Linked DNA regions of Arabidopsis thaliana. The protein of the gene in region 2 interacts with the protein of the main gene of each other region in a pairwise test. Each region holds a gene or a part of one and is shown on either strand. Other genes may lie near its edges.

Evidence for each region.
Region 1: the proteins of SUT2 (region 2) and PUP14 interact in a protein complementation assay, tested with the Arabidopsis thaliana proteins (one large-scale study listed by BioGRID).
Region 3: the proteins of SUT2 (region 2) and GLUR2 interact in a protein complementation assay, tested with the Arabidopsis thaliana proteins (one large-scale study listed by BioGRID).
Region 4: the proteins of SUT2 (region 2) and AT3G05165 interact in a protein complementation assay, tested with the Arabidopsis thaliana proteins (one large-scale study listed by BioGRID).

What each region holds. Positions count from the first base shown.
Region 1 is NC_003070.9:6,830,206-6,836,170, forward strand, and holds PUP14 (purine permease 14), read left to right. Parts: upstream 1-2,119; 5' UTR 2,120-2,220; coding exon 2,221-2,263; intron 2,264-2,358; coding exon 2,359-3,497; 3' UTR 3,498-3,632; downstream 3,633-5,965. Other genes in the region: CNGC8 (cyclic nucleotide gated channel 8), read right to left, coding at 3,680-4,426, 4,506-4,854, 4,932-5,245, 5,342-5,554, 5,637-5,965. UniProt on the Arabidopsis thaliana protein: Purine permease implicated in ATP-dependent cytokinin translocation that controls the spatiotemporal landscape of cytokinin signaling. Depletes ligands from the apoplast, which leads to a suppression of the cytokinin response.
Region 2 is NC_003071.7:827,116-835,742, reverse strand, and holds SUT2 (sucrose transporter 2), read left to right. Parts: upstream 1-3,123; 5' UTR 3,124-3,446; coding exon 3,447-3,713; intron 3,714-4,221; coding exon 4,222-4,287; intron 4,288-4,434; coding exon 4,435-4,533; intron 4,534-4,634; coding exon 4,635-4,699; intron 4,700-4,792; coding exon 4,793-4,877; intron 4,878-4,969; coding exon 4,970-5,003; intron 5,004-5,112; coding exon 5,113-5,212; intron 5,213-5,317; coding exon 5,318-5,393; intron 5,394-5,676; coding exon 5,677-6,015; intron 6,016-6,143; coding exon 6,144-6,287; intron 6,288-6,384; coding exon 6,385-6,618; intron 6,619-6,709; coding exon 6,710-6,773; intron 6,774-6,869; coding exon 6,870-6,913; intron 6,914-7,029; coding exon 7,030-7,197; 3' UTR 7,198-7,464; downstream 7,465-8,627. Other genes in the region: ARPN (plantacyanin), read left to right, coding at 8,023-8,212. UniProt on the Arabidopsis thaliana protein: Responsible for the transport of sucrose into the cell, with the concomitant uptake of protons (symport system). Can also transport maltose at a lesser rate. May also transport biotin.
Region 3 is NC_003075.7:16,786,128-16,794,802, forward strand, and holds GLUR2 (glutamate receptor 2), read left to right. Parts: upstream 1-3,403; 5' UTR 3,404-3,905; intron 3,906-4,142; 5' UTR 4,143-4,162; coding exon 4,163-4,421; intron 4,422-4,507; coding exon 4,508-5,856; intron 5,857-5,948; coding exon 5,949-6,226; intron 6,227-6,316; coding exon 6,317-6,348; intron 6,349-6,432; coding exon 6,433-6,827; coding exon of another isoform or gene 6,828-6,845; exon of another isoform or gene 6,846-6,856; intron 6,857-6,908; coding exon 6,909-7,334; 3' UTR 7,335-7,558; downstream 7,559-8,675. Other genes in the region: DAZ2 (C2H2-like zinc finger protein), read right to left, coding at 1,302-2,156. UniProt on the Arabidopsis thaliana protein: Glutamate-gated receptor that probably acts as a non-selective cation channel. May be involved in light-signal transduction and calcium homeostasis via the regulation of calcium influx into cells. Could play a role in calcium unloading from the xylem vessels.
Region 4 is NC_003074.8:1,456,997-1,466,278, reverse strand, and holds AT3G05165 (Major facilitator superfamily protein), read left to right. Parts: upstream 1-3,361; 5' UTR 3,362-3,541; coding exon 3,542-3,682; intron 3,683-3,775; coding exon 3,776-3,838; intron 3,839-4,825; coding exon 4,826-4,915; intron 4,916-5,074; coding exon 5,075-5,134; intron 5,135-5,233; coding exon 5,234-5,299; intron 5,300-5,403; coding exon 5,404-5,469; intron 5,470-5,618; coding exon 5,619-5,694; intron 5,695-5,779; coding exon 5,780-5,844; intron 5,845-5,949; coding exon 5,950-6,042; intron 6,043-6,184; coding exon 6,185-6,265; intron 6,266-6,377; coding exon 6,378-6,462; intron 6,463-6,589; coding exon 6,590-6,633; intron 6,634-6,729; coding exon 6,730-6,792; intron 6,793-6,876; coding exon 6,877-6,936; intron 6,937-7,070; coding exon 7,071-7,124; intron 7,125-7,240; coding exon 7,241-7,300; intron 7,301-7,403; coding exon 7,404-7,763; 3' UTR 7,764-7,870; coding exon of another isoform or gene 7,871-7,992; 3' UTR 7,993-8,143; downstream 8,144-9,282. Other genes in the region: AT3G05160 (Major facilitator superfamily protein), read left to right, coding at 9,282-9,282. UniProt on the Arabidopsis thaliana protein: Sugar transporter.

The DNA.
Region 1 (5,965 bases), on a different chromosome or scaffold from region 2:
GTTTTCAGTTATTGGATACATTATATTTGATCAATGTGTAAAGTTTCAGAAACTTAGGGAATAGATGGTGGAGATGTTTCATAGGAATGTTATATTTGGATTGATCAAGAAAAGGGTTTTACTAGATTGCCTCTATGATCAAAGAATAGTCTAATAATGCAACTATGCAAGTATCGTTCTTAATACAAAATCTTTGCGTCTCAAGTTGGCATTGTCATTGAAAGCCTGTCGAAATGCTCTCTAAAGAAATTTTGCTTAATTGGAGTTTCAATGCCAAATCCTTCTTTGTTTCTATGACCATAGGAAAATTTAGCTGGATTGATTAAGAATTGGGTTTTACTTTATTGCCTTTGTGATTAAGGAATAATGTAGTGATACAAGTAAGGTTCTTAGTACTAAATCCATGCTTGTTGAGTTGGCATTTTCATTGAAAGGTATTTCTAAAGAAGTTTCCTTAATCGGTGTTGCAATGCCAAATCATTGGTTGCCTCTATGATCATCGGATCATATGACTGGATTGGTCAAACAGAATGGTTTTACTTTATTGGCTCTATTATCATAGAATAATGTAGTGATGCAAGTTAAGGCTTTTAATACCAAATCCTCACTTCTCGAGTTGTGGCATGTTCATTGAAAAGCCTGTGGAAATGCTATCTAAAGAAATTTTGTTGATCAGAGTTTCATTGCCCCATAGCGTTTTAGTACTGAAACTATAACAAAAGTCTAAAACTGGTATAGATGATGATATGCCGAAATGTATAATCCATGAAGGTTAGTAATAGTTGCTTTGTCTGTGTGAATTCAATTAACACATGACAGATTATGCCTACTTAAGCTGGACAACTGTGGCTAGGCTGCCTCAAGTTGATTTGGTGATATGCTGTGTTCTTTAATTATGGGTCCAGTGTAGTTGATAGCTTTTATGCCTATGGGTCATATGGGTGTTCTAATGGGTGTTCTATTTAAGAAGTTTGCGTGATCACAGTTTCAAATTCAATGCCCCATAGCGTTTTAGTTCTGAAACTATTGTACCGATGATGAACCGGGGAATTCAAAACACATGTCTAGAACTTATATAGATGAGTAATCCATGAAGGTTTAGTAATAGTTGTTTTGCCTTTGTGAATCTATTAACACAGTAATAGGTTATGCCTACTTGAGCTATTGCTCTGGACAACTTTGGCTGCTTCAGTCTCTTGGTCAAGACATGCTAATTTGTTAAGTATTAAAATGTTATTTTAATTACGGGTCCAGTGTATATTTGAGAGCATGTATGCCTATGGGTCATAATGGGTATAGCGTCGTGGAAACAGTGTGAGGACGTTTATATAGTCAAACGAGGCAATTGTGTACATAGAGATTTTGTATGATTCTTAAGTAAAATGTGTCAAATGAGCACCAAGGAAATTGCCTTTGTTTGTTACCCTTAATCTCTTATTTTGTAAAATCCAAACTTTCGAAGCTCATTTGGTTGAAAAATGATCAATGTTACGTTGAACAACATTGAATCTGAGTTCAAAATTTGTTTAGTTATTGCAAACAATTTGATTCGAAGTTCAAGTTCATTCTAATCTTGCACCTTTGGGATTATATCTTGAGCATTATAAAATGTCATATACCAAAATCCTTACATGAAGTATGATATTCTAAGATGAAGTCATAAGAAGACACGCATTTAAGAGAGTATCATATTACAAGTAGTGAGCTGCCAAGTGGGCATCGTGTTAGTTCAAAATTTCCGAAACGTAGGATGTTGGATAATCCCAAAGGTCAAACCCCCAAAACAAACAAAGTCAATATAACTTAAACTTAACTATACCATTTCCTTATATAACCTTCGAACCATAAATCCAATTCGGAATATTCGTTGATAGAAAACAATCAAGATTCAAAACCTCAAATATTTCTCATCATCTTTTGTCGATTATTGCTTGGATTTTGTAAAGACAAGAATAAGTTACTTCTAAGTGTTGTTTACACACTTTTTTGGATGACGAAACAACCCGGAACAAGTTGAAAACGACGACGCGTAGACATGAGGCTCGCTTGATTGACCATTACGCCGCCAGGGTAGACTTTTCGTGCCCATATATAATAAACCCTTCTCTTTCCTTTATCCCACAACATCATCCACTCCAAATATCACATATTACCAAATCTAATCGCCGACATACATTGAACTCAAATCCGCTCAGAATCTCCGACAATCAGTTCCAATCCATGGCTCAGAATCAACAACCTATTTTCCAGACCAAACCTCCAGGTAATAATAAGAATCAACAAACCAGATCTCTCGTTTCTTGATCTCCTCTTCTTACAAAACAATTTGATTCTAATTTCCTCTGTTTCTTTTTGCAGAACAATTTGTGCAAATACCTATCAACATCGAGCGTGATTCTTCAACCACACGCATGAACCAAACCGGAAACACAATCCGGAAACCAAACCACTGGCCAACCATCACCATCTCAATCATCTTCGTCATCATCGGTCAATCCATAGCGAAACTCCTCGAAAACTTCTACTACGACAAAACCAACCGAAGCGAATACAACGAAAACCGTCAAAACGATGGCGTTTGGACTCAATCTCTTCTCCAAACTGTTGGTTTCCCTCTCCTTCTTCTCCCGTTCCTCATCTTCATCACCAAGAACAAACGCAACCACCATCAACAACCTCCGATCACTTCCGATTCAATCCACTTAAAATCCTTAGCTGTGATCTACATTTGCATCGGAATTATCATGTCCGTTCAAGGAAGACTCGCAGCCATGGGAAAACTCGAGATCCCATTTGGTGTTTTCACTCTGATCTACACAGCACAGCTCTTCTTCACTCCTATCTTCGCAGCTTTCATTAACAAAATCAAATTCAATCGATGGGTTGTTATCTCTGTGATCTTAGCTATCATCACCGGAGCTCTTACTCTGTCTTCTTCATTCGGTGGTGAGCCTGATGAAGCAGAGGAGAATTACGCTAGAGGCTCATGGGCTGCTCTGTTCGCTGGAATCTGTTTCGCTCTTCTTCTCTGTAACATCCAAAACGTCTTCGACAGTTACATCTTCAAACGAACTGAATCAACCAATCAAAAACCAAGCTTTGCCTCTGTTTTCGAAGTTATTATCTTCTCTTCTCTCGTTGCTACGATCATCTCCGTCGTGGGTCTGCTTATAGCCGGTGAGCAACACGATTTGAAGAGGGAAATGAATGGATTCTCGAAAGGGAAAGGTTCTTATGTGATGGCTATGGTTGGTCAAGCTGTTTCGTGGCAGGTCTATTGGGTTGGGATTGTTGGACTTGTCTACTCTGTTTCGAGCGTGTTGTCGAATGTGATCAGTGTCATTACGTGGCCGATTGTGTCGGTTCTTGTGGTGATCTTCTTCAATTTCATGGATGATGAGTTTGATGCCTTCAAAGGTGTTGCCTTGGTTACTGCCGTCTTAAGCGCTGCAGCTTATTTCTTTAGGCTTCACAAAGACAATCGTATGGCTTATTAGGTTTGGATTCTTGAATCTCTAAAGAAAGTTTTTTTATTTCCCTTGATTTTTTGTGTGTATATCTAATCATATATTCTAGGTGTTTATCTTGTGTAAGTGTAAGTGTGTAACAGCTTTGGTTATAGATGTAAATTTGTATGTTTTACAATGAAAATGTTTGGAAGTGTGCAATCTATAAGTACTTAGTTCAAGTCATCTGTATCAAGAGCCTCAAAGTCAGGTTCTGATGGCTTTGTTAAATTCATTAAACTCTTTGAACTCTCGGTGACCCTTAGTTTATGACCCTTAAGCGCGTTAGCAGCAAATCTTGATGCAAATACCGTGGAACGTAATGTAGAACTTGATCCAACAGAACTATCACTCCTTGTAACCATACCACCCATATTATCATCATAATATTCATCATCTTCATAATCCATTTCTTCTTCTTCTTCTTCTTTACGTCTAAGCTCTGCGATTTTCCTTCTTAAATGTCTACGCCAAGCGGCTTGGATGAAACAAGCAGCCCAAGTCCTCCATTGTTGAGAGTAAAACCTGAAAGTTTGTTGAACCTGACGACTGTGAAGACGCCTGAACTGACTAGCCACAAACTTGAGCTCTTCCGCTTCTAAAGCGAAAGCCTCTACTTCAGTTAGAGCCTTCACTGTTCGTGTGGAAGAAGGTAAGTTTGAGCCTGCTTTAGGGTCAAGTGCCCAAGTCAGAAGCTCTTCACCACAAAAGTCACCTTCTTTCAATAAACCTCTGTTAAAGAAACCGCTTCTTCCACCATCTGTTGTTACACTCTCTAACCGGCCTCGGATTATGAAGAGCATTTCGTTAACCGGGTCTCCTTCTCGCACTATGTAAGTGCTCTCTGTGTATAGACTTGGCTTTAGTCTCTCACATATTGCGTCTAGTAATCTCTCATCCATATTAGCAAACAGAGGAACCTGCAAAAAAAAGAAAGAACATTGTTCCTTGTGAATGAAGTGTAGGATCTTTAGGCAATTCACATTTCTGAAAACTTACCCTGCGAACTAAATTTAGACAGAGATGGCGTTTGATGTCTCTTCTAAGATCTTTTGGTAAACTCTGGACTATGTTTTCTTCGTCGACTCCTCTTGTTTCCAACCATTTGTATTGATCATAACGTCTGACTCGTTCCCTCAGGTTTTGTGGAAGTGACCTGTGATGCATCCACTGTTCGGAATCACGTCTTTTAATCCTCATTTCCTCTAAGCGAACCGTAAGTGACTGAAGATAAGTTTGCATATTCCCAATGAGAAGAGCAAACAAAAGAAGTCCAGCTACAGCAATTGCAATTGAAAACAAAACTTCTCCTGGATATGTACTTGTTTGCAGCCCTTGACCTAACGTGCTATACAAGAAAACACCCAAGTCAATAAAATTGCACCACAGTCTAACAGCTATTCATCGATTTTCCAAGGAAGGTACCTGAGATTTTGGAGACCCCACCATAGACAATAACAAAACTTGGAGAAAAACGTTGTCGAAGATACAATACCGGAAGACACAGCCTGGCTATAGATCCCGTAGTTGAATTTAGACTCATCGCTTTTAGCAGAACAATTGTTCTTAAAAAGATCAGGGACTGATTTGATCCAGTCGGTTTCGCGACTGCTCATTAATTTGCTGCCACAATAAAGAATCTGAACACAGACCTTGGGATCAGGCTGGACTTTACAAGCGGATCTCAAGCATGTATCGTTACGTTCCACTGACAACATGTACCAGAACGCTCCAGTTATCTATCAAAGTATAACAACATTTCTTAAAAACAGAACCAAAAAAAAAAACAATAGATATTTAACCTAGTGCTGATGGATGAATTTTGAAATGCTTACGTGACTTGCAAGCATATACCAGAGGAGGTAATAAGCAGCACCAGCCCAAGCACCTTCAGCGAAAGCTCCTGCTGTTTTCTTGAGCTCTGAAGTTAATGGAATAAACCTAACGAATCTTGGTATGTACTGTGTGATGACAATGTGTAATAGCGCCTGTTTTGTTGGTAATACATCTGTTCCTTTAGATCCGTGAAGAAACTTCCACACAGCAATCTGCATCAACACCACCAAGAATCATCTATTCAATTGAAAACAATGCACAAAACAAAAAAGATTGAAGCGTTTTATTAACTACCTGAGGTAAAGGAAGAACCGCGAGGAAATCGACAATGAAATAACGAGTCAAATACCGTTCAGCGATCTTTGCAGGGTCGATCACAAGCTCACCTCTTCCAAACACACGAGAAGAAGGAGCAATGTAAGCGGTACGGAACTGAAGAGCCATTCGTGTAAGATAAAAAACATCGATGATCGTTCTTAGAGTAGTAGTTGTCACAGCTAATTTAGAGTCAATCCCAATGCAGTTCTTTGAGTTATCGACAATAGGGAGATAGAAGAACAGAGGATCAACAGAGACAGCAAGAATGCAAGAGATAACAAACATTCTGTTCCATAATAAAAGTG
Region 2 (8,627 bases):
ACTACTGATCAGGTCAATTTCCCTTTGCGAAATTTATGCACCAATGAAATTTGCCATGATCAAATCTAATGTTTAATTTTTGTTATTGATATGATCTTATAAAGTAAAAATTAAAGGATCGACACAATTTGATTACATATCGTGCCACTATAGGCTTTGACCATCGAACGAGGCCATTCTTATCCAATCAAGAACGTAACAGGCACGTGTGGGTTGTGTGAGAGTAAGTCTTATATGTCCCATGGGAAGTATTATTGGACGGTGCATGCTAAAGTGATTTTACGACTAATCCAAGATCCATCTTTTAAACCAATCTAACTTTATTTACTGTAGCTAGTCAATATTATCTTCCTAATGTCTCGTTCGTTATAACTTACACGAAACCGTATTATCCCATGACATTCACGAAACAATTGTTCGACAAAAACAAAGGCATGATGTCGAGAACCATAAACAACTATAGTACTCTTTTTTTCTTCATATATTTCAAAAAACAAAGCTAATGTTTCATCTACCATTAACCTAAAAACGTATTGTCATCTATTAATATGTCTCTTGAATTTGATCACATGTTGTTTGCGATAGCACATAGTCTCGATGTCCGGTCAACGAGACGATGTTCAGGGGATGATGCATTTTTGACTCAACTTTGTTATAATTGGACGTAGCTTCCGAACTTAATTAGTCGAGTTAAGGTTTCGCATATACTCCGTTCTATATGAACACTCTATATATGCACAAATCGGACCCAAAAAAAAGCAAGATGATGTATTGGTTTTGTTGGGACAATTAAATGACACAAAGATTTTAGAAAAAAAACCATTACAAATATATGCACAAACCATTGTTGCTTTTTTAAAAAATAGTCCACTTTTTAAATGATTTAATGAAGTGAGTGGATATAAGAGTTCGTAAAAGAGCTGTCTCCACGTGACGTGATTCTTTTTTATTTCTTCACGTTCTTTCCACATTTCTATCTTTCAATATCGATGGTTACATTCTCAATAATGATTAATGACCATTATAATTTTTCTTTATCAACTTTAATGGAGTTATTATGTGAAACAGTGTAAGCCCCATTCTTATGTATATATGTAAATATCACATTATAAATTATGATCTATCGACAGAGAACGACAAAATTGCCAACCAATCACTAAGTTAGAAAATTAAATTTATTGTAATAACGCATCTCTTTTTTTTTTTTTAAACATATAGTTTTTATATTATTAATATTTGAATTTGTCGTTTGAGAAATGACGAAGGAGTTATTTTCAGGCGTAAGCATTTGACGTGCTCGACGTTAAGGAGATGACGTGTTAAGTTATGGTACATATGTTTTTTTCTCTTTTATTTGGGTCATAGCCGCGTTCAACACGTGCTTTTTGTCAAATGTAATTACATGATTAAACTAAAAAAACTTATTACTGTTTTTCAATCAACTTATTAACCTTGATCTTTTTTATAACAAAATAAAAATAAAAATTGGCACATGATCAAATCATCAATCTCAAATAAGATAAAACCAAAGGTGTAATAAGGTTCATTTTTTTGTGGAGAAACCGAGTCAATGCTACCAAATTGCCTATATAGGCTTGAATTTTATGTAAATGCTTTTTTGAATGGAATAATCCGATTTTTTATTTTATTTTTTCTTATGTAAAATTATAACATGGTATAGATAAAAAATTTGTTTTGTAATAAGTGATATTTGGTCTAACGGCGCGTATGTATAGTTCTTTTACAAAAGTGAGTAATAGTGGTTTTCTGGTTCAAATACTATTGAGAATGGTATCAGTTTTGATGGACAACAAGTGTATGAGACTCGGCTATAACTTCTCAATTAACCATTAACCATTAAAGAATACAAAATTTGGATTTTCGACTATACTTTGGTTCGGATACATCATACATGCATGCACACCATAACAACTAAACTCAAAAGGATTTGTTTTTGAACTTTTGATGATAAGAAAAAGAAAAAAAAGATGGGACATAAGAGTCATGTACACGTGGATAAGGAAAGGAGAAGAGAGGGACAAGGGAAGAGATGGAGAAAGAGAGACGTAAGTATTAATTCAATTGTGTGCCCTATTAGCTTTCATTTTCCACAAGCAAGAATAATATTAATAATTATGTATCATCTTTGCATTTTTGTACCAATACATGATACATTTGTTAGGCACACGTCTTTTTCCTTTTTCCTCCTTTTTATTTCTAACTTTCTTCCTTTTATTCGTTTAATCCGGCTCTATCACGTTAACACACATATATGTTATATCATCTTTTTACAAACATGTTTACATTAGTTATTAGAAAATACATATACTTGTAATAGTGACATTGGTAAGAAGAACTCTATCACCTTCACAATCACACACATATATGTTATATAATCTTTTTACAAACATGTTTACATTAGTTATTAGAAAATACATATACTTGTAAATAGTGACATTGGTAAGAAGAAAAAAACACTATTAAATAGTGAAAAAATGTTTATAACTCTCTTAATTAACATTACTTATTATTGCTAGCACCTAAAATCTCCCACAAAATATTTGTTGTAAAACACAAATTTACAAAATGATTTTGTTTTTAAATTAGTAACACATGTTCATATATACGTTAATAAGAACATACCCTATATGATTTTATATAAAAAAATTTCTTTGAGACGTCTTATCCTTTTTTCTTTAATAATATGCAATTGTGAGAGTTTGGATTTGAATGGTAGCATTAGAAGCAAACTTGAACCAAACATATTTCATGAAGTCAAACTTGAACCAATGTAATCACTAATCACAGTGTTCGCAGTGTAAGGCATCAGAAAATAGAAGAAGGGACATAGCTATGAATCATATAATCTTGACACATGTTTTATAGGTTTTAGGTGTGTATGCTAACAAAAAATGAGACAGCTTTCTTCTAATAGACTTAATATTTGGGCTAAATGTACCACAGTTGTGAATTTCTTACAAAAATGGGCCGAGCTACAAAAAACTACAGGCCCACTCTCAACTCTTATCAAACGACACCGTTTTACTTTTTTAAAAGCACACACTTTTTGTTTGGTGTCGGTGACGGTGAGTTTCGTCCGCTCTTCCTTTAAATTGAAGCAACGGTTTTGATCCGATCAAATCCAACGGTGCTGATTACACAAAGCCCGAGACGAAAACGTTGACTATTAAGTTAGGTTTTAATCTCATCCGTTAATCTACAAATCAACGGTTCCCTGTAAAACGAATCTTCCTTCCTTCTTCACTTCCGCGTCTTCTCTCTCAATCACCTCAAAAAAATCGATTTCATCAAAATATTCACCCGCCCGAATTTGACTCTCCGATCATCGTCTCCGAATCTAGATCGACGAGATCAAAACCCTAGAAATCTAAATCGGAATGAGAAATTGATTTTGATACGAATTAGGGATCTGTGTGTTGAGGACGATGAGTGACTCGGTGTCGATCTCGGTTCCGTATAGGAATTTGAGGAAGGAAATTGAACTTGAGACGGTCACCAAGCATCGTCAAAACGAATCTGGTTCTTCGTCGTTCTCTGAATCTGCTTCTCCTTCGAATCATTCTGATTCGGCTGATGGTGAATCTGTGTCGAAGAATTGTAGTTTAGTGACGTTGGTTCTTAGTTGTACAGTTGCCGCTGGAGTTCAATTTGGTTGGGCATTGCAACTTTCTCTTCTTACTCCTTATATTCAGGTACTTACTATTACTCTTGTCATTGTTACCATTTCTATCACTTGTGGCTTTCTCTATAGCAATTTAGATTCGAGGGTTTTGTTCTTGTGTAGCTTTGTACGAGAAAGTCGAGTACTTTGTAGGTGAATCAATGAATTCTAATACTTAGGTTAGGTAGTTGTTGTCACCAACATAGCCATGAGATATTTTCGTATGGAACTCTATAGCATTGGCTTATCGAAGAGTATATGACATTGGAATTTAGCTAGATTGTTTATGTTCATTGGATTACATAAGCATTTGTAAAAATATAAAAGACCTTAGCCTTTTTCGGAACTATTGTATAATCAGAGATTAGACTGTGTTTAGAATAGTATTGTACTGGTCATATATGTATCAGGTGGGTAGTTATGGTGGTAGATAGAACTATTGTTAAATATCTGTTTGCTGGAAGTATTTTGATTTTCTTGTTGCTGAAGAACCCTTTTGAGTTTTATCTAACAGTGTTGCATTTGGTTGGTTGATGCAGACCCTTGGAATATCGCATGCTTTTTCTTCGTTTATTTGGCTGTGCGGCCCAATTACAGGCCTTGTGGTAGGTTAAAAGTTTCTTTAAGAATTTTAGCAGTTTTACTATCTTGCACGTAATGATCTCACGAGAGTTCAAGTTTTGATTTATATTGGATCAGAAACTATTTTTCTGCCCCATTTTGTTCATACTTATTTGTTTGTTGGGTTTTAGGTCCAGCCTTTTGTTGGCATTTGGAGTGATAAATGTACTTCAAAGTATGGAAGAAGACGACCATTTATTCTAGTTGGATCATTCATGATCTCAATAGCAGTAAGTGCCAATAGAAGATATGATTTCTGTTTTGATTTTCTTTTAGGAGATAGCTGGCTACATTGTGTTTTATATAAGCTAAACAAAAGCTTGCAATTTAGGTGATAATAATCGGATTTTCTGCAGACATTGGGTATCTGTTAGGAGATTCAAAGGAACATTGCAGGTAACTCTCCTGCTCCCCTGCCAATGGCATGTTTTTTATGGAATGTATCAAAATTAAAGTAACTGACGACTTGATGTGTATCTTGAAATGCAGTACTTTCAAAGGCACACGAACCAGGGCAGCTGTTGTCTTTATCATTGGGTTTTGGTTGTTGGATCTAGCAAACAATACAGTACAGGTTCAGATCTGCCTCTGCAATGTACTTGAGTGAATGGTACTAGTCATTACCTCTGTATCCAGGAATGATGTTTTCGGCTTTTTTATTTTCAGGGACCTGCTCGTGCTCTTCTAGCTGATCTATCAGGTAATAATGGAATATAACCATACACTTAACAGAACAGAATTTCTATTCAAACTCTAGAATCAGATTGAATATGCTGTGCTTCTAATGAGATGTCTCTTGCTGTCCCTAGGTCCTGATCAGCGGAATACTGCAAATGCTGTGTTCTGCTTGTGGATGGCTATTGGGAACATCCTTGGGTTTTCTGCCGGTGCTAGCGGAAAATGGCAAGAGTAATCTTTGAGATCCTTATTCTCAAAATCTTGTATTCTTTTTCCTCATTTGCAATTTTGCATTTTCCGCCAGCTGTTAAATGATCAGGCAATTTTACTGCGCAGATGGTTCCCTTTTTTAACTAGTAGAGCATGTTGTGCTGCATGTGGAAATCTCAAAGCAGCGTTTCTTCTTGCAGTGGTAAGCAGTATGTTTAATTTTCTGACACATGCATCTTACTAAGCTTTCTAAATTGCAATGGAATGGGCTGGTCTTTACGAAACACTCTCACGTTTGTACATTGTGACTTGTGATTCATATATGTCGCAAATCAATGCGTTCTGTTTGTATGTCTATATTATTTTTGAGGTGATTTTGAAAGTGAAATTATATTATTGCACCCAGTGGCTTTTGTTCTTGTTTCATAGTCTAAAATCTGAATATATTGTTCTATATGTTTTAAGAGTTTAAATCATTTTTTCAGGTCTTTCTCACTATATGTACTCTTGTCACAATCTATTTTGCTAAAGAGATTCCTTTTACAAGCAACAAGCCCACCCGCATACAAGATTCTGCACCTTTGTTGGATGATCTCCAGTCCAAAGGCCTTGAGCATTCAAAATTAAATAATGGTACTGCCAATGGAATCAAGTATGAGAGAGTGGAACGTGATACGGATGAACAGTTTGGCAATTCAGAGAATGAGCATCAAGATGAGACCTACGTTGATGGCCCTGGATCTGTTTTAGTGAATTTGCTAACTAGTTTAAGGCATTTGCCACCGGCTATGCACTCAGTTCTTATCGTCATGGCTCTTACATGGGTGAGTGCCAAAGAAAAATTATGATCAGTTATTACATATTTCACACTGTTTCTTTTCTTAAACTCTTTAATGATCTTTAAAATTATTTGCTTCTGTTATATTTTTGATTGTGGTCTTGTTCTTTGCAGTTATCCTGGTTCCCCTTCTTTCTGTTCGATACAGATTGGATGGGAAGAGAAGTTTACCATGGGGATCCAACAGGAGATAGTTTGCATATGGAACTCTATGATCAAGGTGTACGTGAAGGTGCACTTGGTTTGCTACTAAACTCTGTAAGAATCGTTATAATAACCTGTTTTTTAACTGCACTGCTCTTCAAAATTCAATTACTCGCCCGTTATTGAATATTCTTCTTCCCTGTTTCCGTAGGTTGTTCTTGGGATCAGCTCATTTCTCATTGAACCAATGTGTCAGCGGATGGGTGCTCGGGTTGTATGGGCTTTGAGCAATTTTACTGTATTTGCCTGCATGGCGGGAACAGCTGTAATCAGCTTGATGTCTCTCAGTGATGACAAAAATGGAATTGAATACATAATGCGTGGAAACGAAACAACAAGAACCGCAGCCGTAATCGTTTTTGCACTCCTTGGTTTTCCCCTAGCTGTATGTGCTTTCTTTCAACCGTAATTCTCTTTATTCTTTTCGTGTTGCAACATTTCTCTAAAATATGTGATAAAACCATTCTTTAATGCAGATCACATACAGTGTCCCTTTCTCTGTCACAGCAGAAGTCACTGCTGATTCCGGTGGCGGTCAAGGTCTGTGAAAAGATTCATATCTTCACTATATTCATAGTTTTTGTACTTAAATCTTAGATTTCAGTAATCCCTAATGGTTTCATTTCCTCACTCCAGGTTTGGCTATAGGAGTGTTGAATCTCGCAATCGTTATTCCCCAGGCAATCTCTCAAATCTAATTACACTGATAAATTTCATTCTCTTGTATAATGCCACTCACTTCGAGTGTAGTCTTGACCCGTAAATAGTGTCTGAATATGGTTTTGGCTCTAAACAGATGATAGTATCACTTGGAGCGGGTCCATGGGATCAATTGTTTGGAGGAGGAAACTTACCGGCGTTTGTTTTGGCGTCTGTTGCTGCTTTCGCTGCTGGAGTTATTGCATTGCAAAGGCTTCCCACGCTATCGAGTTCTTTCAAGTCCACCGGTTTCCACATCGGCTAAAATCTTTATACCACAGACATAAAATTCACAGTTAGATCTACCCGATTCTTTTTGACCACGTTCTCCTCTCGGCGTATATGTAAGTAGGTTTTGTACATCTAGTTTTCTTATATGTTATACACAGCAATGTGACTCTAAATTTACAGTACCTCTCTTCTCACGTAGAATATATCTTCGTTATTTTGAATCACTTTATATTTGTGTGTTCCTTTCCTCACAAATAGAAACTTGAAGCAACATATTCCAAACTCAATAGTCCAATCTAATAACACAATACTGTTGGTTCTTTAACCTATGATGTGTACGTTTTCCCAACATTACCATACTAATATAACAAAGCATTTCAATAAGAACACAAATTCAAACCTATTTTCGCCTATAAACTATGTACTAAAATCATAACCAAACTATATCTCCAATAGAAACAATGTGTCCATAAATAATAAATGCTCATATATCGTGGGTTGTTGATGACATAGTCTTTGTCCACAAGTTCCTTATTTAGTTGATATAAGCATTTTCAAAACAAAGAAACAAAATTCAACTTAGTGTAACAATGTCAAAACCAAACTCTTATCTTCAATAATGAGACAAAAGAAACCGAAGTTAAGTCTATAATCAATTTCTACATAGACAATGTGGCCAAAAATAATAAATGAACATATATCATGGGTTGTTGAGACACCCAATTTAATAAAATAAAAACATTGAATGTCTTATTTTCTTCTTCTTTAAAAACCCTTTGTACATTTACTCTTCAATTCATCCTCATTTACTCTCTATAGTTTCTCTCTCTTTCTCTAAACTTTCACCTAAGATCGATCAATGGCCAAGGGAAGAGGCAGTGCATCATGGTCGGCTCGAGCCATAGTGACTCTCATGGCTGTGTCAGTGTTGTTGCTTCAAGCTGACTACGTTCAAGCTGCAACGTACACGGTCGGTGACTCTGGTATCTGGACCTTTAACGCTGTGGGTTGGCCTAAAGGCAAACACTTTAGAGCCGGCGACGTTCTTGGTATATACTTCACATCCTTTTAATCAAGCTTCAGTAATTATTATACTATCTTGTTACACTTAAACCACAAGCAGTTAAGCTTTCTAATCTTCATATCCACTAGGGATGTATCCATATCATGGCTGCTTCTAAGTATGGGCAAGATGTGCTTTTGTATAAAGCACACGACAAATAAAAAACTTCCTATAGTTTAAAGGTTACAAATATGATTGATAAATGTTTTGCATACACAGTTTAAATAGTGTATATCTTTTACATGATTGAGCCTGTGATATATTTTACTATATTATAGATATGTATGTATACATCTTCCTTCTCCAAAATTTTTTTTCTAGTTTCGATTATTCACAAACGCTGATTTATGTGTATAGCAAAAATTCATGTGCGTTTAAATTTAACAAAAAATATTTTAAAA
Region 3 (8,675 bases), on a different chromosome or scaffold from region 2:
TGAGCATGTTGAGAAAAAAAAGTTTGAGCATAGATAGTTAACCCTTTTTTTAAAGGATGGAGTGCTTGTCAAAGATGTAAAGGACGTGTGAGGAGATAAATGGGTCAACTTCATCTTACGTAAGCCTTCATATCTACCATTTTTAAACACATATAAACAAATCAACAACATATAAAATATTATGATGCATATGATACATTTATACTTTTTGTCAACATGTTGTAGATGTAGACATATGAAATGAATTACAATGTACGTGAACAATTTTACAACATATTTGTCACGCGCCTGTGATTAACACGAGCCATGTACTAGAATCAATCAAGAGCTAGGGAAATTCATCTTTGATATAAATAAATCTCACCAGAAGATTCTCCTTGTTGTTTTTGATGTATTTATATACCAACAAGCATCGCTGTAAACGATAGTTATTGTTATTAAAAAGAGTTAGTAGTTGAATATTCACGAAGGTTGTGTGTCGCACTAGCTAGCTCGATAATTGTTTGAAGGACAATTGATTTAATATTTGTTTAATAGATTCGAGAAGATTAATTGAAAACTGTCTCGGATTAGGGTTCGTGCATGTTGTAATTAGTTCCGCGTGTTTACCTATAATGCATCTGAATCTTTAGACTAATAATTTTCTTTAAGATTCAATCTTTATTTAAGCATTGTTTATGTTAAAGCTAGCTGGTGAAAACAAGGTTATCTTAGATATAAGTAACACTAAGATTCTCTAGCGGAATAAGATCTAATCTATATACGATAGAATGGTAAGAGTTTTAAGAAAATAATTAAAAATAGAATGGTTGGAGTCTTGGAGATCGTGGTGAGTTTGAGATCAAGTCAAACAACGAAATTTGGCAAGAATAATACTAATTAAGCTTCCGTGAAATTAAAATGTTTTCCCTTTTCTTAGTTGGCTTAAATTTTACAAAACGGCTCAATATCTGCTTATGAATTTCATGTTTTAAGAGATCAATTCTGTTCTCTAGTATTTGGTTGGATATACGTTTGAAACTTTCTTTTACATTTTGGTACAACACAAGTTTTGTTTTCTTTCTTGATTCAAGTGTTTTTTTCTTTTCTTTTCTGATCTGATTCAAAATTAATTAATATACCAGAAAATCAGTGCATTTCGAAAGCACAAAACTAAATATTTTTCTTTATTAAGCATATATATAGCAGAATATCCTACATACGTTATACTTATCATCAAATCACAACATGTACATTGACCTATTAATTAGAAGGAAACATCCAATATACCTACAGACATTATATATATATATAGATACTAATTAGAGTCCTAACCTAAGATCTAAACAACACCCTGATGTGTCCGAAGTAGAAAGATCCTGTATTGTTGGAGGAACATTCAAATCCAAAGCACCACTGATCATCGGCTCCTCCTCCTTTTCCCAATGACATCTCATGTGACCTCCTAAAGCTTGACCACTCGAGAACACTCTAAAACAGATATTACACTTATGATGCCCTGAAAACGTAAGGATTTTTCCCTGATGATCATGCCCACTAGAAGTAGAAACCGTCATAGGATCATCGGTTACGTTTGTGATAGCGAAACAGCCTTTAACGTTTTTATGACTCGCTCTGTGTCCTCCTAAAGCCTGATGTGATCCAAACACTTTCTTACATCCTCCACACTCGAACCGTTCAATACTCGATGATGATGGTGTACCATTAGACAGCATTAAGAGACAAGAAGCGACTTCATGGTCTTCCTCGGACATAAATGAGACCCAATTTGGTAATATCTGGTTTAACTGTTTTGAAGAAGCCGCGGTGGGCACACGGTAGTTAGGAGGAGGATTAATGCCACGCCATTGACGCTCAGGGTGACATCTCATGTGACCAAAGAGAGCCTTCCAAGACCAAAACTTTCTGCCACATTCAGTACATGGACGTGTGATTTTGGGGGCATTTGGGTCTGGTTTTTTGGTGTATTTTGGTTTTGACGCGGATTTTGGTGAAGAACTAGAGGATGAAGCAACGGTTTTGGTGCGTTTCTTCTTAGGACTGTGATCGTAGCTTGAAGATAAAGCAAACTGGAGATTTGGATTAGGGTTGCTTGTGTTAGAAGGATGAAGTGGAATGTGAAAACTGCGATCATCATAGGAATGATTGTTGTTCATTGTGAGCACGTAGAGGAAGTGATGGAAGAAAAGTGGGAAAAAAAAGAGTAGAAGTTAGAGAAAGGGTTGCTTAAGTAGAAGAAGAAGGAGAGGTTACGTGGGAAAGAAGTTATGGAGGAACAGGGAGACAGTTAACTTCAGTTGAGGAACAGAGCGGTTTACTATGTAAGGAAGAGACTTATCTCTTTGCAGTTTGAAACCACCACGTTTTTTATGTATCAGTTTTGCTGCTTATTATTTGTTGGCCCAAGTTTATCTTTGATGGGCCTTATAATACTAGAGTTCATTATTTCTTATGGGCCTTATAATACTAGAGTCCATTATTTCTGATAGGCCTTATAAATCTTGCGTCTATTATTAAATTCTAAGCCTATGCAAGAATATTGAAGCAACAAAATTCCAAAGCCAACAAAATTCCAAAGCCAATTGGAAGATTTGGAAAAAGTAAAGATTTTAGTGGAGTTTGAGCTTCCATTACTCAATTTCGGTGGAGGTTCCACACTTCCACAGAAATAAAATCGCCACTCTCCCATCCCATGATTCACACTATTGAAATTGGACATTTGATTACGATTTGTTTCCTAGATTATTATTTTTGTTTCTATATCCGTTAGATTTTCTTTATCGTGCGTTTTCTTATCTTCCTGAAACATTTAAATAATAACAAGAATTGTTTTTGGTATAAGTAAACTTGTCTCTCTTTTTTGGTAAGAAGGTTTAAGGTTGCCTATATAGGACAACAAAATCAGAAAATGCCATAAGCATCTGTAATTTTTATTGGTTTGGGGTAAAAAAAGGTTACAAATAAAAGAATGGTCCAACAACATACATTCATTTTTGGAGTTATGTCATATGTGGAACATGGGAAGATGTTTTAAATACCTGAACCAAATAATATTCGAAATATCCAGACTTTCTCATTGTCGCATGAAAGACCACAAAATATAATACTATTACTTTTCAAAAAAGAAAATGAAACAATAAAATAAATTTAAAACAGTCATTGGATCAAGGTATAACGGAATCCAAATACAAGTATAATATATAATTATAAAATACTGATTCAATAATCAAAAGTATAATCATACAACTCCATGACGCAAACGATTAATGGTCCCAAAGATGATTTGGTTAATTATCTCTTTTTTTGGGTTAATGATTTCACTAGCCAATAAAAGATTATAGACTACCATTATAGATTATAGTAAGGAATAATATGTTTCTCATCATCATCTTCTTTACTTTGGCTGGGAACCAAAAGGGTCACTTCGTCACTTGCAAACAAAACAAAAAGTTTTCATTTTTCACTGGAAACAAAACTTACAAGTTAAGAAGTTCACATTTTTCAATCGATAATGGCTCATTATCTATGTCGACAATTATGGTTAGTCTATCCAATTTCCTTCTCTAACTCTTTTTTTCTTAGCCTGTAAATGTGACTAGTGCATGAATTCTGATTGGAAGTAATCAAATCCCACCAAAAAGCTTACCACTTTCCTAAATCTTCAAGCAAACCCATGATTTTACTTTTGTCAGTTTACCTCCTTTTTGTTTATTGAAGACCTACTCCTTCCTTTTTTCAGGTTTTTATATGTGTACTCCTCTTGCTTGTTCCTCATGCTTTCTTTCAGCTAGATTTTTCATGTGCCTGACGAATCTGCTTTTCTTTAAAGGATGATTTTGGTTTGGGTTTGGGTTTTGGCATCTCTGCCACTCATTTCTTGACAATCCTTGTTCTCTATGTTTGAGGTAAGGGTTTAATCCTCGTGACACTTTTTCAGTTCTGGTTAAAGTCACTTTCTTTGCTTATCTTCCTTATTCTTTTTGTTTCATTAGAAGTTTCTAGCTTTCTCTTCCTATGTTACTCTTTTTAAAAAAATCCCATTTTGATTTGGTGAAGTGGCTCACAATCTCTCATTTTGTGATTCTTAAAGTTTTTGGGAATTTTATCTAATTGTTGTTTGTTTATCAAACTTGGTGTTTCAGGAACTGATTAAGCCAAAGCTATGTTTTGGGTTTTGGTTCTGTTGAGCTTCATTGTTCTTATTGGTGATGGGATGATTTCAGAGGGAGCTGGTTTAAGGCCTCGTTATGTTGATGTTGGAGCAATATTCAGTTTAGGGACTTTACAGGGTGAAGTTACAAATATTGCTATGAAAGCTGCAGAGGAAGATGTAAATTCTGATCCTAGCTTCCTTGGTGGATCAAAATTGCGTATAACGACGTATGATGCAAAGCGTAATGGATTCCTCACCATCATGGGAGGTGAAAAAAAGATATGATCTTGTTTCGTTGATTCTTGTTTTGGAACTAAACTTTTACTTATCCTTTGTGTTGGTTTTATTTCACAGCTTTGCAATTCATGGAGACTGATGCTGTGGCTATCATTGGTCCTCAGACATCAATAATGGCTCATGTACTGTCTCATCTTGCAAATGAGCTTAGTGTGCCTATGTTGTCATTCACAGCTTTAGACCCTAGTCTCTCGGCGCTTCAGTTCCCGTTCTTTGTCCAGACAGCACCTAGTGATCTCTTTCTGATGCGTGCCATTGCGGAAATGATAAGTTACTACGGTTGGTCAGAGGTGATTGCATTGTATAATGATGATGACAACAGTAGAAACGGTATAACAGCTTTAGGCGATGAGCTCGAAGGAAGGCGCTGCAAGATTTCATACAAGGCTGTGCTTCCTTTGGATGTGGTGATTACGAGTCCTCGTGAGATTATAAATGAGTTGGTTAAGATTCAAGGGATGGAATCTCGGGTAATCATTGTGAACACTTTCCCTAAAACAGGTAAGAAAATCTTTGAGGAAGCCCAGAAGCTTGGCATGATGGAGAAAGGCTATGTTTGGATAGCTACAACTTGGTTGACTTCTCTGTTAGATTCTGTTAACCCGTTACCTGCCAAGACTGCTGAATCTCTTAGAGGCGTGCTTACTCTTCGTATTCACACGCCAAATTCAAAAAAGAAAAAAGATTTCGTGGCACGGTGGAACAAGTTGAGTAACGGGACTGTCGGTTTAAACGTTTATGGTCTCTATGCTTATGATACTGTCTGGATCATTGCTCGAGCTGTTAAGAGACTTCTAGATAGCAGAGCTAACATTTCCTTCTCTAGTGACCCAAAGTTAACCAGCATGAAGGGAGGAGGGTCACTGAATCTAGGTGCATTGAGCATATTTGACCAAGGATCACAATTTCTTGATTATATTGTGAATACAAATATGACTGGTGTTACAGGTCAAATACAGTTTCTTCCTGACAGATCAATGATACAGCCCTCATATGACATCATAAACGTGGTTGATGACGGGTTTAGGCAGATAGGGTATTGGTCTAACCATTCCGGGCTCTCTATTATACCTCCAGAGTCACTATACAAAAAGCTTTCAAATCGTTCGAGCTCAAACCAACATCTGAACAATGTGACTTGGCCTGGTGGGACTTCTGAGACACCACGTGGTTGGGTTTTTCCTAACAACGGGAGACGATTGAGAATCGGTGTACCCGATAGAGCAAGTTTTAAGGAGTTTGTGTCAAGGTTGGATGGAAGCAACAAAGTGCAAGGGTATGCCATTGATGTCTTTGAAGCTGCGGTAAAACTGATTTCTTATCCGGTTCCTCATGAGTTCGTCCTATTTGGAGACGGTCTCAAGAACCCAAACTTCAATGAATTTGTCAACAATGTCACTATTGGGGTGAGCAAAAGAATCAAGAAAATATCATTTCTCTTACAAAGCATTGTCGAAACTGACTGTAATAGTTGTGAGTTGTTCATTTCTGCTTTCAGGTATTTGATGCTGTTGTAGGAGACATAGCTATTGTTACGAAACGAACAAGGATTGTGGATTTCACTCAGCCTTACATAGAATCAGGGCTTGTCGTGGTTGCTCCTGTCACAAAGCTAAATGATACTCCGTGGGCGTTTTTACGCCCTTTTACACCTCCAATGTGGGCTGTTACAGCAGCTTTTTTCCTCATCGTTGGATCAGTAATATGGATTCTTGAACATAGAATCAACGATGAGTTCCGCGGACCTCCAAGGAAACAAATTGTTACTATTCTCTGGTTAGTAAACAGTCACTGAAGTTGCATTTTATCAATATGTTGGCACATAACATACCTAAAGACCTCATAAGCTATGATCTATGTATGCAGGTTCAGCTTCTCCACGATGTTTTTCTCCCACAGTAAGTTACATCTAAAAACTGCAGCTAAGTTACTACTGTATAGGTGATGATATCTCCAACATCTTTATGCTACTAAACTTGCAGGAGAGAACACAGTGAGTACACTCGGTCGTGCTGTTCTGCTCATCTGGCTATTTGTGGTACTAATCATAACATCAAGCTACACAGCGAGTCTTACATCGATTCTTACAGTGCAACAGCTAAACTCACCAATCAGAGGAGTAGACACACTCATCAGCAGCAGTGGACGAGTTGGGTTTCAGGTAGGTTCTTATGCAGAAAACTACATGATTGATGAGCTTAACATTGCCAGATCCAGACTTGTACCACTCGGCTCTCCTAAAGAATACGCTGCAGCTCTTCAAAACGGAACTGTTGCTGCAATTGTTGATGAGCGTCCTTACGTTGATCTCTTCCTCTCAGAATTCTGCGGATTTGCCATTAGAGGCCAAGAATTCACCAGAAGTGGCTGGGGATTTGTGAGTACCTTCATTTAAAACTGTCTCTGCGGTTTGTTTGAACATTAATCTTGATCATCTTTTTTGCGGTTTTGTTTGTAGGCATTTCCAAGAGACTCTCCATTAGCAATCGACATGTCAACCGCGATCTTAGGTCTATCAGAAACCGGACAGCTTCAAAAGATCCATGACAAGTGGCTTTCAAGATCTAACTGCAGTAACCTCAACGGTTCAGTGTCAGATGAAGATTCAGAACAGCTTAAACTCCGAAGCTTCTGGGGATTATTCCTTGTGTGTGGGATCTCTTGTTTTATCGCTCTCTTCATCTACTTCTTCAAGATAGTCCGCGACTTCTTCCGCCACGGCAAATATGATGAAGAAGCCACAGTACCTTCACCAGAAAGTTCACGTTCTAAATCATTGCAGACATTTCTAGCTTATTTTGATGAAAAAGAAGACGAATCCAAGAGAAGGATGAAGCGTAAACGAAACGATGATCTTTCTTTAAAGCCTTCTAGACCAATATGACAGATCCATCAAGACTCAAGCATGAAAGATGAAGAAATGCAGACACACATACCTCATACTTATATAGTAGAATGCAGATTTTGATTTTAACTGTACTTCAAGAATAAGCCTTGAAGAATACGGAACATTTTTTAACCAAAGAAAGTGAAGCATTAACTTGTAAGACAAAGCTATATCATACATAGTTCTTAAAAAAAAGAATTACTTGGTATCCTTTTTATCTTCCAGTTATGTTGCATACCAAAACTGTAAAAACTAGAGGTGCCAATCCGGATTAGGCAGTTTAGTTGCTAAACCGACTATATCCAAACTCGGAAGCTTTCCAAATGTACCGGTTGGTTTTTACTTTTTATAGGATAGTTAGTGGTTGCTGATTAGCCATTGAATCAAATTAGTCACACTAATCACTAAAAACATTTATAAACTCAAACAGTTAAAAACTTGGCTAGTTTTCTGTCATATACTACTATTATGTAAATTAAATACTAAGAAAAAAAAACTATAAAAACAATCTCAAAAAGAAAAAAAAACTTTCAAAAATCTGAAGAGAAAATATCAAAATTCGAATAAAAAACTTGGATACTTAAAATCTACATAAAAATGATATAAAAAATATTGAATATTTGGAATCTCTAACGACTAATGCTGGATCCAAAATCCGGTTAGTTATCAATTTTTATATAATATTATGAAAATTAAATATCAAAACAATAAAAAGATAGAAAATAAAAAATAAAAATAAACCTTAAAAATCCAAATACAAAATATCAAAATTTTGAAAAAGCAATATAAAATTCGAATTAAAAATCTCGATATTAAAAATCTATATAAAGATGATATGAAAACAAGTTGAATGTTTGGAATCGCTAACAACTAATGTTGGTTCCAAAATACGATCAGTTTCATACATCATTATGCAAATTTAGTGTAAAAAAAAACCTTTTAAAAATCCGAATATCCAAATTTACATAAAATGATATGAAAACAAGTTGAATGTTTGGAATCGCTAACAACCGAGACTGGATCCAAAATCCGCTTAGTTTCAAATATCTTTATGTAAATTTAGAATAAAAACAAAATAAAAAATAAAAAAAAACTTTAAAAGTCCGAAAAAATTGACTTAAAAACTTGGATACTAAAATCTTCATAAAAAATAAGAAAACAAGTTGAATGTTTGGAATCGCTAACGACCGAGGTTGGATCCAAAATCCGGTTAGTTTCATATATTTTTATGTAAATTTATAATTAAAAAAAAAAACCGGAAAAATTGACTTAAAAACTTGGATACTAAAATCTACATAAAAAAAATGAAAACAAGTTGAATATTTGGAATCGCTAACG
Region 4 (9,282 bases), on a different chromosome or scaffold from region 2:
AATAAAACAGAGATTAAAAGGTCAATTTGGATTAGGTTTAAATTTTAACGTGGCAAACCACCATCTCTCTTTTGTTTAAATAATTCTTAATTGACGAATTATTATTTGCATTTAAAGAAGTTAATGGAAAAACAATATTATTTTGTTAATCGGTCAACAAACGAAATGTTAAATACCAAAAAAAAACGAAATGTTAAATCAGAAACGTAGCCGACAAAAAAAACACAGAATCGTATCTCTTATGTTCCACTCATATGGGCCAAAGAAGTTAGCCCGGTAACAGATTTGTAGTCCAAGATGATGAGCCCATGTAAAATAAATGAAAGAAAAAACAAATGTCAGCTCATTTATAGTTTCTCAAAATCTGTTGGGCTTTATTTGGATTTTAGTAGGCCCAAATAAATGTAACCTCATAATAACAATTTGGTGTATATTAATAGTGCCTATTATAAATACAACACAAATTTGACTGAATCTTTAGTTTTGGTCGAATGATGATTATGCTCTGAGTACTATGGATCTTACTCACATTCAACTACAGTTCGCTATTCAAACATTACAAATTTACAATATATATGGACTAATTTTACAGACCACCACAATCTCATAATCAGTAAGTCATCACTTATCAATTACTCCATTAAATAATTACAGATTAAATTGTTATATACTGAAATTTTGGTATTATTATTTTTTTTTTTTGAAAGACCAAATGTACATTTTGGGAAAAAAAAAAAGAAAAAAAAAATCTCGGTCTTTTTAGACACTACCATACTCAAAATTTAAACTACATAAATATACATATATATATATATATATATATATATTCAGTGTGTGATATATACAAATAAAGTCTCTAATGATTTTACAAAAAGATTTTCAAGAAACAAGTGAGATATTTTTCGATTGATTAATTAGTCAAAGTACCGTTTGTAAGAAATATCATTAGACATGTCACTACTACGTACGTGCTCTAGAAAAGGGATATATTAGGCTTACCAAAATATCTTACATGTCTTGTTCCATAAAAATATGGTATATATAAAAAAAGTTGCGTTTGAAAGAAATCAACAACCTATAACAAGAAAAATAATAACAATAAATTTTGATAACCTTCAAGTTTTTAGATAGTGGAAATGTCTACGTTTCTTGTCCTTCTCAGTCTTGATTCCTTTCAGACCATTTTCTAATTTCAAAGAAATATTACGTTCATGACCAAGCCTAAAGGGTTAAACCATATGCTTAATATTTTCTATTTATAAATTTGTATATATTCTTCTTAATTATGGAACGTAAATTTATTTTTTCAGAAGTGGTCCTGCAAGAGAAGATTCATAGTGGATACAACAAAACCTAGTTTTTCTACTGAATTGGACCCGCTTAACGATCATGAAAAACCGCAAAAGGAACCAATATTACAACGAAATGTGTATGGGCGGTACAGAAGAAATGGACAATCCCATCAACACTATGCAGTAATAAGGATAGTGTCTGATGAAGATATCGATTGCCAATTCGTTATCATATTGTATTGACAAAAACTTAGCTACTGAGAATGATTACCAACGAGAAAAAAAAAACGTGTGATAAGACATGGGATGGGCATCCAAATTGGGTAGATTAAAATATGAGAAGGATGGGGTCTTATTTACTCACTTGTCCACCATGCTTTAATAATTCAGTAATCATTCATGCTAATTAACCCCACCCCATCTCCCAAACAAATCCATGTAATTGTCAACGATCGTGACGATACAAAACCATATGACGCAAAATAAATTATCATAACCATCATCATTATGTTGGAAACACGTTACACTATGCTATGCTTGACTTTACTTGTTATTAAGTGAGTTAGTTAACACAACTCCCGTTTAAAACTTTATAGTCTTCGATTCTCAACAAACTCCCATTTATATAGTCTTCACCGATAATATAAACAAAACATTAACATATATTATTCATTTATAAACCATTCTTTGTTTAAAAACAGATGTAGGTACAGTTTTTTCAATATTCTTTTACAAAAAGGTACAAATATCCTTTGTTTTACAGACTTTAGGTATGTATAATACTTTACCTCGTATTACAAATGAAACGATGATTATGGTTGAACGTTAGTTTTTTTTCTTTAAAATCAGTTGAACAGTAATAAAAAACAATATTGAGACCATTAGGTGGCCAATTTCTGTTTTTGTCTAGCATTAGTTGCTTAGGGTAAAAACAACTTGATCCACATTTTTTCCTTAAAGTATTTCCGTCTTAATTTTAGAAAATAATTGAATTTGAGAATCACCTAATTAAAATGTTTATATACATGTTTTGTTTTTAAAATAATACGACTTTTGAAATAGGATGGAGAAATTTACTCAATCTTCCCGAGTCTTCCTGATAATTTTTTATTTTTGGCAAAAATACTATACTTTGATTAAGACTTGCGTATGACCAAAATACTATATCAAATTGTCAAACTTTAGTGAACAATACCCGCTAAAATATTATTAATTTATTATGGCCTTTGTGAATAAATTTTGTTAAATGATTTGAGTAAAAAGAAAGTAAAAAGAGAACTGTAAATTTATTTAACGAACGGTAGCTAAGTACTCCAACGGTCATTTTGGTCAACCATAAATATAAAATTTTGTAAACAAAATTCTCACAGAGGTTTTAGATAAAACACCCATTAAAAATTAATTTAGGCTTTCTTGATTTGAGTAAAAATAATTTATAACAGAACTGTAAATTTAATAAATTAAAACAGCTCGATCGAACTGTAAAAGATTTAAAACAGAATTGTAAATTCGTTGGTAGATGCGCCCAACGAATATGTAGGTCAATTATTGAAGCCCATATTTTTTAATTTATTTGGTAAAACATTATAAAAACATGGTGATGTAGTTTAGTCATATTTATGTTGGCAATATGTAACACGTTGGACTAGAGTTATTTGGATACGCTTCAACGGAATATTTCCTTTGATTTTGGTCAATTTAATTCTGAGTCTGGTTAATCAGTTTTTTGTAGAAAAATTATAAAGTTTCTGTGATTTTTATCACTGGTAATGTTTATTTTATGTTTGATTTTTGTCTTTTATATTTTATAAACACATAATCTTATCTAAATATTAATTTTTCTCTAACATAAGAACTATTTGGAACAAAAAGAAAAGAACGTACAACTTGTATTGAGGACAGATAATGAGCTATATTCACTAGGATGCATTCAAAGTTGGCATTATTATCTTAATGCAAAGCGACAAACGAAACTCGAAATGATTAAATGATAATATTTGTTTATTTAAAATAAAATAAAAAAACGAAATCGTATTCTATAACAAACCAACTTGTGGAAATGATGAAGTGCTTCAACCCCACAAGTAAACTCTCTCTGATTCTCTCTTTCTCTCTTTCTCTCGCTCTCTATCTCTCTCTCCTCTGTTTGTTATATCAATTAATCAAGAAGATTTCTTGTGTTTTTTTTTTTCTGTTAAAGAAGATTTCTTGGGAGAAAATAAGGTGGATTGAAGGATTAGTCTTTAGGAATGGTGGTGGAGGAGGAGAATAGAAGCATGGAGGAAGGACTTCTTCAGCATCAAAACGACAGAGATGATCGTCGTATCACAGCTTGTGTCATCCTCAGCACTTTTGTCGCTGTTTGTAGTGCCTTCAGCTACGGATGTGCCGTCAGTTTCTAAAACTTCTTACTTTAGTCTTAATCTCTTAATTTCTTCTTAATTATTCGAACAATAATCATTATAATTTCTTGGATTTGATAGGCTGGTTATACTTCAGGCGCTGAGACTGCTATCATGAAGGAGTTAGACCTTTCTATGGCACAAGTATGTAATTTGTTTTTTTTTCATTTCTTAGCTTTTATCACTATAAATACTCAATTAATCCCTAATTAATTATGCTTAAAATGCATAATTACACCTGTTTATGAACTAAAACATCAGCTGCTTGTAAATCTTCTTGTATGGATTACTAAACTATCAGACCTAACCAGGTCGGTTATGAAGAAAATCAAATGGATAATCATACGCAATTACGTGTAAAGACGTCATTGATAAATTATAGCTTCGCTACTGAAAGTGAATTATTATTATTTATTACTATTATTCTATAATAAATATTATCTTACGAATTATTTATTTTATTGCGGTCCAAAGTTAACTATATTGAGAGACCACATGTACAGACGTTCTGAGAGATGCGTATGTGAATATTAGAGAGATACGTATTTTAATATTGGAAAATGAATATTTTCCCATATATAAAGTATTATATTTTTAAAAAAACAAAAGTGAATATTATGAAAATGCGATATGATAGCTGTTTTGTACTTGGAGAGATCAGAGATGCATTCATGCATATGTGACGCCGACACCGTATGTCATATTTGAACATGAGCAATATTAAAATGTTGTATATAGCTGTATTTTCAATTATATTAATAATTATTTCAGTTATCGAATATAGTTCTTCTGACAAATTTTAATATGATAGGTAAACTAATCAAAAGATCACACGATTTACTTACCTAACAAAAAAAAGTTAGCAAACAGCATAGCATTTTAATTTGAATTAATTTTATAATAATCAAATAGTATACGAAGTACTTAGAAATGTTTACAAAAGCTTTTTAAGTACTACTGTTGGAATTTTTGAAAAAAAGTTGAGGTATTTAATTCTTAAAAATTAAGTATTTGTGATTAGTAACTCTTTACCACACAACTTACTGCTAACTTTTTTCCACCATTTTATGTAATCGATAAGTATTTTAAGGCTAATTTTTCTCAATAACTAAATCACATTTTCTAAATCAGTTTTCAGCGTTTGGCTCCTTTCTGAATGTGGGAGGTGCGGTGGGGGCCTTGTTCAGCGGTCAATTGGCAGTCATCCTCGGCAGAAGACGAGTAATTGCCATTTTACCATATTTCTTAAATCATACTACTAGTAATTAGTACATCAAATTATGCACTTGTTTATTTTTAATACTTGTTTCTTTGCAATGATTTTCGTAGATTCTGATTGATATATATCTTTTTTTTTTGGGTGGTTATTAACGATTAAAGACGTTGTGGGCATGCGATTTTTTCTGCGTTTTTGGCTGGCTCTCCATTGCTTTCGCAAAGGTGTAAATCCACAGAAATCCTAAATTATTTTTCGATTAAAATAATTTTGCTCGTAGAAATATCTAATATATATATTTGAATAAATGTGGAAACAAAAAGAATGTCTTCTGGCTGGACTTGGGAAGAATTTCCTTGGGCATAGGAGTCGGCTTGATTAGCTACGTGGTAATTGAACAAATATTTACACCAATTACATTTGGTAATCTCATCTACATTTTTATTGTTTTAGTTCACATTTCTTAAAACCAACATTTTTATATTCATAAAAGGTCCCAGTCTATATTGCGGAAATCACTCCAAAACATGTTCGTGGCGCATTTACTGCTTCAAACCAGGTAAACTCTATTATACTCTTTTTATTTTTTATTTTTATAAAGTCTATTCTTTTATTTTATTTCTCTAAGAAGTTATTCAAATCTGTTACCCTTATTGCCTTATATATTTTTTTTCTATTGTAACAACCCAATGTTTTTTGGTTTTATAGCTTCTTCAAAACAGTGGAGTTTCCCTGATTTATTTTTTTGGGACTGTAATTAATTGGCGGGTTATGGCCGTTATAGGTAACGAAATACCTCGTTTACAATATTATTTCAATATCAACAAGTGAATTTTGTTGATCAGTTTCAATTTTATTTTCTGGTTCAGGTGCAATTCCATGCATCCTTCAAACGATCGGTATATTTTTTATACCGGAATCTCCAAGATGGCTGGTTGGCATTTCCTTTTAATCATTTCGACTATGAATTCGACATAAATATGTAAACGTTTTACTTCAGTCATTTATATATATTTTTTGTTGTTGTTGTTTTTATCAGGCTAAAATCCGTTTAAGTAAAGAAGTAGAAAGTTCTTTGCATCGACTTAGAGGGAAAGATACTGATGTTTCAGGTGAAGCAGCTGAAATTCAGGTATATATGTTTAAAAGAAATCACTCTCTATTAGTATATATTACTGTATTATTACTATTAATATTCTTTCTTTCTTTTGTTAAGTTATTAGGACACTTTCTCTATATGTAATTGTAGTTATATGCTTGTTTTACTTTTTCAGGTTATGACAAAAATGCTTGAAGAAGATTCAAAGTCTAGTTTCTCTGACATGTTTCAGAAGAAGTACAGACGAACTCTTGTGGTACGGTAACATATATAGGAAGTTAGGAACTAGGAAGGAATTTAGTGAAAAGGCTAATTATTTACTTCTGATTTTACAGTGATGAAAGTAATGATTTGTTTTGAATTTACAGGTTGGAATTGGTTTAATGTTGATACAACAATTATCTGGAGCTAGCGGTATCACATATTATTCAAATGCCATATTTAGAAAAGCTGGTTAGGATATTCATAGTCTTACTATTATTATTTATGAATTTATTTTGCTTTCATATAAATAATACTCGTAGGAGTTATTTAATACTACCTATTATTTATGTTATCTGTATTTTCGTCGTTTAAACAGGCTTTTCAGAGAGACTTGGATCAATGATATTTGGTGTGTTCGTGGTGCGTACCTTAAACTAATTGATTTTTTTTTTACGATATTAAATTTCTCAAAGCTATTTCGATTATACCATTATGATTATTTTTTACTCTTTGTAGATCCCAAAAGCTTTGGTTGGTCTGATTCTTGTGGATAGATGGGGAAGACGACCACTCCTATTGGTTAGAAAAATACAGTTTATATATAGACATAACAATATAACAGTATAATAATTATTAACATTATCTTGATAAACATTATTCTAGGCTTCTGCTGTTGGAATGTCCATCGGATCCTTGCTTATTGGAGTTAGCTTCACGTTACAGGTTACTCTTGTAGAATTTCTATATTGGACTAATATGAGATAACTATCAATATTACAATCCTCGCCTCTTTTTTTTTTGGACAAAACAATCCTCGTCTTATAATATGTTTTTTTTTTTGTTTGTTTCTGAGACAGCAAATGAATGTGCTTCCTGAATTGATCCCAATTTTCGTCTTCGTAAACATTCTGGTAAAATCTTTCATTTTCTTTCAAGGATTTATTCATTTTTTCATGCAAATTTTTATTTTTATTTTAAATTTTTGGTATTAACTTGTTATAAGAAATCTTAAATTAAATTTGGTTAGGTCTACTTCGGATGTTTTGCATTCGGTATAGGAGGGCTACCTTGGGTCATTATGTCTGAGGTAAATAACATATTTTAATTTATATAAATCATATAGTTAGACGTTATGAAAGAAAAAAAAAAGTTTACTGTGTTTTTTGCTGTTGTTGTTGTTGTTGTTGCAGATCTTTCCGATAAATATAAAAGTTTCAGCAGGAACAATTGTAGCATTAACATCATGGACTAGTGGGTGGTTCGTGAGTTACGCTTTCAACTTTATGTTTGAATGGAGCGCACAAGGTCTTTATTTTCTCTATTACTTTTTTATTAATTTGGATAAAACAATTTACCAAAAAAAGTTAAGAGTTATCTTTATAAAAATACACAAATCAAACATAAAGTTATTTAAAAATCGTGTTCGAATTTTGACATTTGTATCAAACAGTTTTAGATGTGCAAAATGTGCGGTCGGAAAATATCTCTTAGATTCACGTTTTCTTCAAATACTTTTAGCTTTTGTTTTCTTGTTTAGATTGGATGATTGAGTTTTTGTTTATTTATTTTTTATTTTTAGGTATATATTGTTAAATATACTTTTAAATTCAAGTAGGTCATTTACATATTGTTTATGGTATATATAATAATTAAATAGGAACATTTTACATATTTGCGGCTGTCGGAGGAATGTCATTCATTTTTATTTGGATGCTCGTACCGGAAACCAAAGGACAATCATTGGAAGAATTACAAGCTTCGCTTACGGGGACATCCTAAATGCACATTTATATTGTAATATACTATTAATTTTGTTTGGTAAAAAGATAAAATTTATTTTCTGTTGTCAGTCGCATTGCAAATAATAAATGTATTTTGTAACATTATTTGCATATTGATATTAATAATATTTTACATTTTTTTCCTTCGCAAATCAGTGGTTTATTTATCCTAGTTTAAGACAACAAATGAAGGATAGAGCAACGATCAGACGTATCGGACAAGTCAAGCATGCCAAACGATTTCAAAACAAAGCTAGCATAATCATAAAAGGATATATAATCAAACTGATACAAGTTTGAATTAGCATCGAAAGAGATGTCGATGAAAACATACGACTTTGACATAGTCACCTTACATTGTGACTTTTACCATAATCCAAAACCTCAATTCTCATTGAGATAAGCTTCGTCATAACTTCCGGTCTTGTAAAGACCTTTACACAAAATTGTAGAACAGTACTTAGGATGATGAAATATTCTTCGAAATTGAATCCGGAATGATACCTCTCATGGAGAAGGAGTTTGAAGGAAGAGTTCTCTCCTCCAAAGAAGAGGAAGTGTACATTGATCATTCATTGTCTTGACAAGAGGAAAATTGGACAAACTTCTCACAAAAACCGGAAGTTGGACAAACTAACCCAAAAGCTAATGTATATGTCAAAGAATTTGAAAAGCTTGTTTACCTAATCGGTTTTTGGGTAATATTTGAACCGAACCGATATCCATGATTCAAAAAAGAATCCCACTCGATTATTTTACTTTTGTAATTAAACTGATCGCTCTTTAGAGTATTTGGTTTGGGTAATATGTGTAGAGTATAGATATGTAAAGGCTAGGACTGTCATTTAATCTCTCTTGTAATCTATATTGTACTTAACCTATCTAATAGAATCATTCAGTTCCCTATTCTACAATATGCTCAGAATTAATGGAAACTCACATTTAAATTATGTGTAGTTTTAAATTTTTGGCACTGAGGATTTTGTCATATCTGGCTAAGTACATTATGATGGTTTATTCTTATGATTCAAATATTTTTATAATTGTTAGGAAAAAAAGATCTAGAGCAAGGCCACTGGCCACTTGTGCAAGTCAATAAGTGCTTGAACCCCACGTGTAAACTCTGTTTTTCTCTATCTATTTTCTCTCTCTATTTTATCTATCTTGTCCTCTCCTCTGTTTATAATCAGCAAGATTTCTTTTTGTTTATTAGAAGATTTTTGGAAAATTAATATATAAAGAGAGGAGAAATTAAGCGTAAGAGTGGTGGCGGGGGAAAATAAAAGCA